3 linked regions of the Saccharomyces cerevisiae S288C genome follow. The gene in region 3 interacts genetically with the main gene of each other region. Each region holds a gene or a part of one and is shown on either strand. Other genes may lie near its edges. The genes, in order: CIN4, ADE3 and BAS1.

Region 1 (3,235 bases), on a different chromosome or scaffold from region 3:
CACAGTGGGAATGACTTCAGAACACTTCAATTTACAACCAAATTTCACTAAATCGTTAAAACTACTGTGTTCAGAATATGGTACGTTAAAAACTTGAAATTTGTTGTACTTTTTGTATTGCCTCAATATACTCGAGATTTCAAACCCATTCTCATCATCATTATCTCGATCATTCTTCATTAGTTCTAAGCAATATTCTGTATTGCCACTCATTTCATTCTCATCATCATCGTTTTTCTTTTGATATTTTAAACCAAAATTGTGACTCCACCCGGTAGGTATAAACCCGACAACATCTTCAATGTCTTTCACATAGTCTGTTTCCAATTCTTTTAAACTTTTCAAGTAAGCTTCTATGGTTTCTTGACTTTTCAACACTCTTATAGGTACCAAATGTACGGATGATTCATGTAAATTGCTGGTGAGTAAGCTTTCGTCCCACATGTCATTTTGATTTTCGTTGTTTTGTAAAACTGTTAGCATCATTGAAAATTTAACGGAATTCGGCATAACAAATAATTTTGTTTTCAAAAATTCACATATCTTGATGGCTAGCTTCTCTTTTCCAATAGTATATGTTCCCACAAGAAATAGGACCCTGTAACGATGAGTTGTCAATGTTTTCTTTCTCTGAAAGTGAAAAAGGTTCCTTTGTGAATCTCCAAATGTTTTGTTTTTACCATGTTTTATAAGCCGTAATGTAAAATCAGCCACAGTCTCGCACACAGAATGTTGTGAAGGAAAGTTGTATCCCATAGTCATATATGTTGTATCTAAATAAACTTGGTCAATAGTTTCATTCGCTGTCTCGGCCAACCACTTCTGAATTGTCTCAATCATTTTGGCGTTGCTTCGAAAATCCCCCGTGTGAAGAATTTGTCTTATAGGCTTATCATACGAATTTGCCAGAAACTCCTGGAAAAGCATTATTATTGCACCGGGACAATGGTTAGCGTCCAACGTAACTACTGAAATGGTATCTGTTATCCAAAAGCGTTTATTCATGGGTAAAATTTGGATTTCATCCATTGGAATTTTGAATTTTAAATTTACTAATATTGCAGTGATCTTAGAACAGTAAAGTGTTTTCTTGATCGGATTCTCATCAGGATTGTTCCAAGATTTTTTGAGTCCAATATAGTGATCAGAATGAAAATGAGAAAGAAAGTACTGAGAGATAGTCTCGCTGGCCTTATAATTGAAACCATCCACAACTATTTCGTGGCCATTATTGAACTTAATTATCTTGAAACTTGGTAAAACAAGTTTTACTCTTGTTGGTTTTTTTGACGTAGCTATATCCCTCTTCGTTTTTGCAGGAGATGATGGATTAGAAATAAAGCTCCTGATATTCTTTTTAGGTGTTCCCATATTGCTCGGGTCACTGCCTATGCAAGTATCACAGTGTGTCTCTCTTTCGTACAATTCTAAATGAGAAAGGTTTTCTAGACAAATAGGACATTGAATAACTTCTGTAGAGACTTTAACATTTACTTGCTCCTCCAATTCCGTTACTATTCGATCTTCGGTCCTATTTTCTATTGCGCTGACTTCGTTATCATGCAAGCTAACTAGTTCTTCCTCGTCTGTGTCTATGGTGATTTCGACCTTTGCAGTGTCTTCAAGGCAAATGCTATTGTGATCGTCATCGTTAATAATTACTGGCTCTGTATTCTTATTGGATGTTGAACAACTGAACCTTGAGAATGAATATGAACTGGAACGGACAGGTAAGTTCGATGAAGTTGGGATGTTGAATTCTGTCAAAGTTCTCTGCCTTTTAGAGGATGTATGTGTGTTCTTATGAAGAGTTTTCCCCTCACTTGTACTGCTAGCGGTGCTACTTCGTTTCCGCTTTACTTCAGATCTTCTTATTTGCACTATAGATTTCCTTGACATAATCAACCGACCACCCAAATTAGTCACTAGTGCGTATGCTGCTTAACATGAGTTTTGACGCAGGTATTTGATTATGTTTATATTGCTATTTTACTAGTACTTTTTCAGTCCGTTTCCATGACAAAATCTAAAAAGCCATCGCACTAATTTATAAAGATAATAAGAGGGAAGCTTAAGGTGTAGAAGAATACATGGGACTACTAAGTATTATCAGGAAACAGAAGCTCAGGGACAAAGAAATTCGCTGTCTGATTCTAGGACTAGACAATTCGGGGAAGTCAACGATAGTAAACAAACTATTGCCCAAGGATGAGCAAAATAACGATGGTATAATGCCTACTGTGGGTTTTCAAATACATAGTCTGATGATAAAAGATGTGACAATATCTCTATGGGACATTGGGGGGCAACGCACATTAAGGCCATTTTGGGATAACTATTTTGATAAGACACAAGCGATGATATGGTGTATAGATGTGAGCCTTTCAATGCGGTTTGACGAAACCTTGCAAGAACTAAAAGAATTAATCAATAGAGACGAAAATCGAATAGGATACGAGTGTGCTGTTATCGTTGTGTTGAACAAGATTGATTTAGTGGAGGACAAGTCCGAGCTTCATCGAAGGTGTTTACTGGTAGAGAGCGAGTTGAAGTGTCTGTTCAAGCCGGACATCCGAATAGAGCTCGTCAAATGTAGTGGCGTTACCGGAGAAGGTATTGATAACCTGCGTGACCGTCTGGTGGAATCCTGCCATTTTACCCAATAATCGTCTAAGATGTGAGCACCATATAAAAACTTTAAATAATGTCAGTATTTATAGCGTGATAGTTCATTACCCGCCGACTGTGCGCATTCGTGGCTTCTGCTCACTCCGGATAATAATACTACCAAGGGGTTCTGTAAGGCTTGCGGGTTACAAAGCACGGGTCCATTGAAGATCTTACACAAGAAGGAGTGGTAGGAAGACCAGCAGATTATTTCCAATCGGTCGTTGCCATTGTCTTATTTCCTTTTCTTTCTGGCGCATTGCATTTTAACACCTTTTTTTCCAGAATAGCCAACCACCGACGTCTGATTCACACATTACTGGGCAAGATCTTGACATAGCATTACATTACAACACGGCAACACTAATCACGCAACGCTAGAACTCGCGCAGGATGAATATTCAAAGCAATAATTCTCCGAATCTCAGTAATAACATAGTGTCAAAACAGGTTTACTACGCCCATCCTCCACCTACGATAGACCCGAATGATCCGGTGCAGATATCTTTCCCTACCACCGAAGTAGTTGGGCATGGTTCGTTTGGTGTGGTATTTGCCACTGTTATTC
Region 2 (3,759 bases), on a different chromosome or scaffold from region 3:
AGTGACTGGAGACCTGTTTACGTCAGCAGCAACAACGACTCTTCCAATACGTTCCTTCATGTCCCTCAAGTCCTTTGAAAGAGCAAGAATAGCCATCAATTCAGAAGCAACGGTGATATCGAATCCAGTAACTCTTGTGTGGTTCTTCTCGGTAGGGGCTTGACCAATGGTGATTTGTCTTAACATTCTGTCGTTGATATCGACCACCCTCTTGATAGTAATAGTGTCCGGGTCAATGTTCAATCTGGCGAATTTGTTGATCTCTTCGGGTGTTAGATCATCGGGGTTGGTCTTTTGAATACCCAGTCTGTTCAATCTTCTTTGCATGGAGGGAGTAAACTTTCTCTTTCCGTTCTTTCTAGGCACTAGTCTGTTGTAGAAGGTAGCGTCGTTCTTTTGAGTGGTCTCATGGAACATTCTAGTGTCAATAGCGGCAGCAAGTAGGTTGTTAGCCGCACCAATGGCGTGAATGTCACCAGTCAAATGTAAGTTGAATTCGTCCATTGGGATGACTTGGGAATAACCACCACCCGCAGCACCACCTTTGACACCTAAAGTGGGTCCTAGGGAGGGTTGTCTGACGTTCGCAATGGCTGGCTTGCCCAAGTGAGCCGTTAGTGCCTGGACAAGACCCATTGTTGTAGTGGATTTACCCTCTCCCAGTGGTGTTGGTGTGATACCAGACACCAAGATGTACTTACCATTTTGGCGCGTCTGCAGCCTTTCGATGACTTTAGGAGAAATTTTGGCCTTGTAATGTCCGTACAGCTCCAACTCATGAGAGTAAATACCCAATTCTTGAGCAAGCTGGTTGATAAGCTTTGGCTGTTGTGCTCTGGAGATGTCTATATCGGAAGGAACAGGTGTTAGCAACTTCAATGGCAAGGGAGGAATCTGCAAAGGCTTCGAGGATTCTTCCATTTGGCGTTTGGCAGCAATCAAGGTATTTTGCATTAACATAGCCACCGTCATGGGGCCCACACCACCGGGCACTGGAGTGATTAGATGGACGTATTTGATTGCTTCATTGAACTCAACGTCACCAACACATTTGAAACCGGACTTTTTGGAAGGATCAGCAACGTAGTTGGTGCCAACATCAATTACCACGGTTTTCTTATCACTGGAAGTGCCGTCTCTTGGTTTGAACCATTCACCCTTCACAAATTCTGGTTGGCCGATGGCAACGACTACGATGTCCGCGTCGTGTAAGTATGATGCGATATCACGGGTTTTAGAATGAGTGATGGTGACGGTGGAGTTTAGAGATTTTAACAATTCTGCAACAGGAGAGCCAACAATGTCAGATCTTCCGATCACAACGGACCGGGAACCTTCAATCGTGACGTTGGCCTTGTGAAGCAGCTCAATGATCCCCTTGGGCGTGCAGGGCAAAAAGAATGGGTGTCCGTTCTTCTTATTCAATTCGCCAATGTTGGTGGGCCCGAACCCGTCCACGTCCTTTTCTGCCAACACTCTCGAGGTGATTCTATCCTCGTCCAAATGAGCGGGTAATGGTAGTTGCACGATAATACCGTGTGTATGTGGGTCCTCATTCAGCTGGTCCACGTAACGCAGAACTTCAAATTCAGTAGCGGATTCATCTAAATGAATGAAATTAGCAACAATGCCGGCCTCTTCAGCTGCCTTACGCTTCATGCGTACATATGTGGCTGAGTCTGGTCTGTTGCCTACTTGAATGATGGCAAGGTTAGGTGCAAACCCAGGCACGTGACCTTGAATGCTTTTGATTTCATTAGCAATATTGCTTCTAAACTGCTGAGCGCATGCTTTGCCGTCCAACACTTGACCAGCCATGATTTCTTATTTGACTTGTAAAGTTGTGTTCGTCTCGTTACCTGGTCTCACAACTTCAATTGAATGGTATCGCTATCGTTGTATTGTAAACGAGTCTATATATAATAAAAAGTTACGGGTTATGGAGAGCGCGTATATAATGAATGAATGACTGACCATAGTACGAAAGCGATAAAGAGGAAAAAAGAACAAAATTGTCACTGGGAGGAGTCATGGCAAATATATGATCACGTGCGATTGTGTAAACCTGTCAACGCCACAGATCGGGTAGGTAACCCGCCGTAACGCTCTCGTCGTCACCGTATACGGATTGCCAGCGCGAGAACCCCCCACGCAACACCCATAGACGACAGCGAGAAAGTTCCGCCGTGTCAAGCGACCGAAGCAGCAGCATCGCTGCAGACGGTCCGCGCTGCTGCGATAACATACAATGGAAAATCACGTTCAGCGCTCCGCGGCCGTCCGCTTGCTTTTCCAACAATCTGTGCTTTAGCTCACGTAAGTACTCCGGATCCTGCTTAAGGCGCGAATAGGCGTAGTGCCATCCGTCCTTGATATGGCCCCCCATATAATCTGAGCCTCGCACATCCACTACCTGGAAAGGCTCCCTCAGCGTAGTAGTGTGTCCTTCTTGCATCCAACGATGCAATTCAGTCGGATCCAGGTATTTTACGTTTGTTATTGAGTACGAGTCCATATTTTTTTTGCAATTGACTTCTCTTTTGCTTCTATCTGGCTGCACAGCTATCTATACTGTGCTGAAAACTGTATGTGCGGAGGAAGTAGAAAGGCTAGCGACAGCCAGAAAGAAAAAAATGGAAAAAAGGAAAGGGAAGAACCCAATAAGCGAAATGTGCATTACCCGTATTTGTCGTTTGCATGTAGGAAGAAAAAAATGAGTCGAAGACCTACCGTTATATAGTCATTCTTTTTCTTACGTTTTTACGCTTCGTTTCTTAACGCTTTTTAATAAGTATGAAATATATATCTGGTATTGGTTTTAGTACAGTTACCATTGTTTGTTTCTCCTGTTTCTTTTATTTTTTCTGCCGTTCTTGTATTTTTTATACCCATTCCCCTTTCTTGCATACGCCAGTCACTTTTCTTTATTGTATTGTTTAACTTTCAAATTTCACTCTTGCTATTCTCTCTTGGTAGTACAAAGCACAGCAGACACAAAGAAAAATGGCAAACCCAACAACAGGGAAGTCCTCGATTAGGGCTAAGCTTTCTAACTCATCGCTATCAAACCTATTTAAAAAAAATAAAAATAAAAGACAGCGTGAGGAAACGGAAGAGCAGGACAATGAGGATAAGGATGAGAGTAAGAACCAGGATGAAAATAAGGACACACAGCTCACTCCCCGCAAGCGTCGCCGGTTGACGAAGGAGTTTGAAGAGAAGGAGGCTCGTTACACCAACGAGTTGCCCAAGGAACTGCGCAAGTATCGTCCTAAAGGTTTCAGATTCAATTTGCCTCCAACGGATAGACCCATCAGGATATATGCAGATGGTGTTTTTGATCTTTTCCATCTTGGCCACATGAAGCAACTGGAACAGTGTAAGAAGGCTTTCCCCAATGTAACACTGATAGTTGGTGTGCCTAGCGACAAAATCACTCACAAACTAAAAGGTTTGACTGTGCTGACCGATAAGCAGCGTTGTGAAACTTTAACGCACTGCAGATGGGTTGACGAAGTCGTGCCCAACGCTCCCTGGTGTGTCACCCCAGAATTTCTACTAGAACACAAGATTGACTACGTGGCACATGACGATATTCCTTACGTTAGCGCCGACAGCGACGATATCTACAAGCCAATAAAGGAGATGGGAAAATTCTTGACTACCCAAAGAACCAATGGTGTCTCTACAAGTGATATTATCACAAAGATCATCAGAGATTATGACAAATATTTGATGAGAAACTTTGCAAGGGGTGCT
Region 3 (3,759 bases):
ATGCGCTATTCTATTAGGACCTACATCAGGTGGCATTTCTGAACCGCTCGTTGTATATGATGCCGTCGAACTTGGTGCCTTGCCATTTGTTCCATTGAAATTCGGTGACATACTATTAGCACTAACGTTTCCTTGAATGATTTCATTATTTGTAGCGGTAGAATTAGTTGGGATCAATGTATTTGCTTGAGGATAAAATACAGACGGGCTGTTTGTTTCTCTATTGCTTTGTGAACCAAGTTCATTTGCATTGTCAGCGGGATTGTGTGAAGTTGCTTCCAAGCTGAATGCGTTATAGTTGGGTGTTCTTGATAAAAAATCGCTATCCATGTTGTCCAGAGAAGTCCTATATTCTGGGTTAAAAGTGTCACTATTTGAATTTAACCCTGGAAGACCATTTCCCAGTTGTCTACCCATATGTGGGAAACTATCCATTAATAGAGGGTTTCCATTTATATTTCCTATATTTGACAATCCAGTATTGCTGCTGACAGGATGGTCTGTGGATGTAACATAATGATTGTGAATATGTTGATGTATCGAAATTTTTAAAGAGTACTTCTTAGCTTGGTCAACCAATTCTTTTACTAATTTTGTGCTGTCAATAGTTCCGTTAGAAATTGACAAACCTTGACCATCTTTTAATGTAAATTTCCATTGTGTGCTAGAGGAATTTGGTTCTCTAGTTTTCACAGTAGAATAAGCATGCTTCGGAGAATCTGAAATACTATTACTATTCATCATATGCTCATCGAGAGATGCTGGATTGAATGCTGGGGGAAGGCTTGTCTGTGGGCTATCTGAGATTCCTCCAGGACTTTGCTTGTTCATTTGAGAAAGACCTTCAATTGGTAAAGATACTTTGCTCCTAATGCTACCACTGGTATGAGTCTGACCGACTTGCGTCATCCTGATTGGTGGAGGTGCAGATATCTCTTTTAAGGGAGGTAATGCTTGTGGCTTGCTGTCATTTAAAATGGGTCCATCATTATCCTTTAATCTTGGTAGTTTGCTCGATTCGTTCTCTTTAACATTCAATATATCCTGCTTTATCAATGAAGGGTTGTTCTGTTGAGATAGCTGCAACTGTTCTTCTTTATTCGGTGTAGAATCTGAGCGTATATCAGAATCGGCGATTGGATGTTGTCGGAGTTTTCCGTCTGTCATGTCTATGTTCTTGTTTTCTTTTATAGCCTTTGTTATTACTTCTGATGCTTGTCCTCGCACAACCATAGTAATAATTTTCCGCCATCTGTTCCTGCACGTTAAACTTGGTCTGAATTCCATTTCCGACGAAATCTTTCTCCATTTCGTGCCGTATGCCTTCACTTTACTTATCAGATTTAAATCTTCCTCGAGCGTCCATTCTCTTAATCTACCTTTACTTCCAGGTCCCAACACTTCAATGTACCTTTTCGCACATTGATCCTCTGTTCTTCCAGGGATATCCATGGAGATACTCAGCCAGTGAGGCCCATGTTCTTCATAAGCTTTCAAGAGCTGCTCATCCTCTTCTTGTGTCCATTTACCTTTCTTCAAGTTTGGGTCCAGAGATCCTGTCCAACGCTTTCTTACATCCTTTGAAGTTCTTACGGTGTGTTTGAATCGTGTAGCTAAAACATCCCAAGCAATACATTTAGAAAGATGGTTGGATTGTTGAATTGTTTTTACGTCTTCAAGTCCATTCTCATAGCCTAACTCCTTTGCGGATTCGTTTACTAGCGATCGTAGCATATTATCGTCGTCCTTTGACCATGAATTTCTTCCATTTTTCCTGTGTGTCTGATAGCCAAGTGATTCAGTCACTTCAAGTAAATCGAAGCCGGATCCTCTTTTTGGCTTACTTTTTCGTATATCTTTGGTACTTATATTCGACATTCTCGATAAAATGTATTCTGCGATAAAAAAAAAAGAGCAAAAACGCTACAACAAAAGTTTTAAACAAAACTAATTTTGTTTACCCCACTAGAGATCAACAATTGTTGCAGAGAACGATTCAAATCAGCAAACCGGATTATCAGAAAGCAAATAATTAAACACAAAAAACGTACACTAGTCCTTTATAGTAAACTAATAAGAAAAATTTCTTATTATATAAATATAGCTGGTTAATTTCGATTGCTTTAAAGTTTCCTGGGGCTTTATTCTGTGACTGGACCCTATTTCTTCTAAAGGTCTTAACATAATTACTCATTCTCATTTTTTATTTTTTTCTTCGTCTGGCTCATCGCATTGTTCGGACCAAAAAAAAAAAAAAAAAGAAAAAAAGAAAAAAAAAAATAGTTTCTCCGTTGCACATCGTCAAAGGTGATTTCCCCACATCTATTATAAAGTTTTTCCGGAGTGCTTAAAAAAGGGATTGACATTTCTTCGAGAATTAGTTGAGAAACCCTTTTAGATTGTGCGCTGAGTAATCATTAGGTTGATTATAAGCTCTGAAAGGTTACTGCTACTGCTAGTAGTCTTTCAGGATCTTCAGTAAACTAAATAACCGTGGCATTGATCTTACTTTCCGTTTTCTTTTCGCTAAATCGGAAGTCATAAAGACAATGTTATTAAACCCAGATCAAATTCTAAACCTAGTTCGAAAAGTATATGAAGTAGATATTAAACAGTTTTATTCGCAATTACGGCTAAAGAACTTAAGAGGATTGTTAGACCATGCTGCTCATCTGTTTAATGTTTACCTGAGGGATTTAGAAATCAATCAGGAAATGGAAGCTTTGACAGCATTTATTATTGGTTGTTATTATCTGTACCTTATTATTCCACAATCGTTACAATTCCAAACAAGAAATAATCTCTACAGCAGTTACGCAAAGCTAAAAAACGACTATCAAGACGAACACGTGATGGGTTATGTGTTAAAAGTGGTAAGAGATGAAAGTACTGTTATTGTTGACCGGTATTTAGCGGAGTCAAACGGAATTTGCAGGACCATAAAAAGAAAAAGAGCCTACTCCTTACCGCTACGGCCTTTACCTGTTCATATGGCCTCTTTGTCAATACATAACAAGTTTGATGGCTCACTACATGAAATACCGAATGAGCTAACAAAACCAACAAATGATAATTCGAAAGAGGACATAGTCAGGGAAAGTAATCAGATAGCATCAAGTAATAAATTGGAAGCTGGTTCTGAAGTGGCGTACTACACAAGCAAAGAAGCATTATCAAAACCCTCGTATTTAAAACTCAGTACTGGAAAGGATGCATTATTCAAAACGCTGTCTAGTCCAGCAACTGCTCCCCCCGTGCACTCCTTGGAGGTTTCGTCACAAATCAGAGATTCTAGCCAAGATTCTTCATCCTCTTTATCCAAGGTGGAAAAGCCAAAGGAGGAAGAAGGAAAGATCGAGGCCATAGAATCTTCGGCCCCGAAAGCTTACAATCTACCAGTAATTGAAGATTCTAATGATCTGTTATCAGAGTTATCTATTACTGGCCTGCAAAATCCATGCAATACATGCTATATTAACAGTATAATTCAATGTCTGTTTGGCACTACCTTATTTCGGGATTTGTTTTTAACCAAGAAATATAGGCTATTCCTCAATACTAACAAATATCCGAAAGAAGTCCAACTTTCCCGCTCGATTTACGTTTTGTTCAAAAAAATGTATTTGAATGGAGGAAGAGCGATTATACCAAATAGATTCTTAAAAATGTGCAAGAAGTTAAGGCCAGATTTGAACATCCCAGATGATCAACAGGATACACAGGAATTTCTACTAATAGTTTTAGCACGAATACATGAAG

What was found.
Region 1: mutations in BAS1 (region 3) and CIN4 together harm fitness more than expected from each alone (negative genetic interaction), as found in Saccharomyces cerevisiae (2 studies listed by BioGRID).
Region 2: mutations in BAS1 (region 3) and ADE3 impair growth when combined (synthetic growth defect), as found in Saccharomyces cerevisiae (one study listed by BioGRID).

Annotation. Positions count from the first base shown.
Region 1 is NC_001145.3:543,065-546,299, forward strand, and holds CIN4 (Arf family GTPase CIN4), read left to right. Parts: upstream 1-2,090; coding exon 2,091-2,666; downstream 2,667-3,235. Other genes in the region: DNA cross-link repair protein PSO2, read right to left, coding at 1-1,899; serine/threonine protein kinase RIM11, read left to right, coding at 3,061-3,235. UniProt on the Saccharomyces cerevisiae protein: Implicated in yeast microtubule function.
Region 2 is NC_001139.9:903,993-907,751, reverse strand, and holds the start of ADE3 (trifunctional formate-tetrahydrofolate ligase/methenyltetrahydrofolate cyclohydrolase/methylenetetrahydrofolate dehydrogenase ADE3), read right to left. Parts: upstream 1,819-3,759; coding exon 1-1,818. Other genes in the region: phosphatase YCH1, read right to left, coding at 2,069-2,515; PCT1 (choline-phosphate cytidylyltransferase), read left to right, coding at 3,004-3,759. UniProt on the Saccharomyces cerevisiae protein: Cytoplasmic isozyme of C-1-tetrahydrofolate synthase.
Region 3 is NC_001143.9:633,970-637,728, reverse strand, and holds the start of BAS1 (Bas1p), read right to left. Parts: upstream 1,879-3,759; coding exon 1-1,878. Other genes in the region: ubiquitin-specific protease UBP11, read left to right, coding at 2,550-3,759. UniProt on the Saccharomyces cerevisiae protein: Activates HIS4 transcription only in combination with PHO2/BAS2. BAS1 is also involved in the regulation of the purine biosynthesis pathway.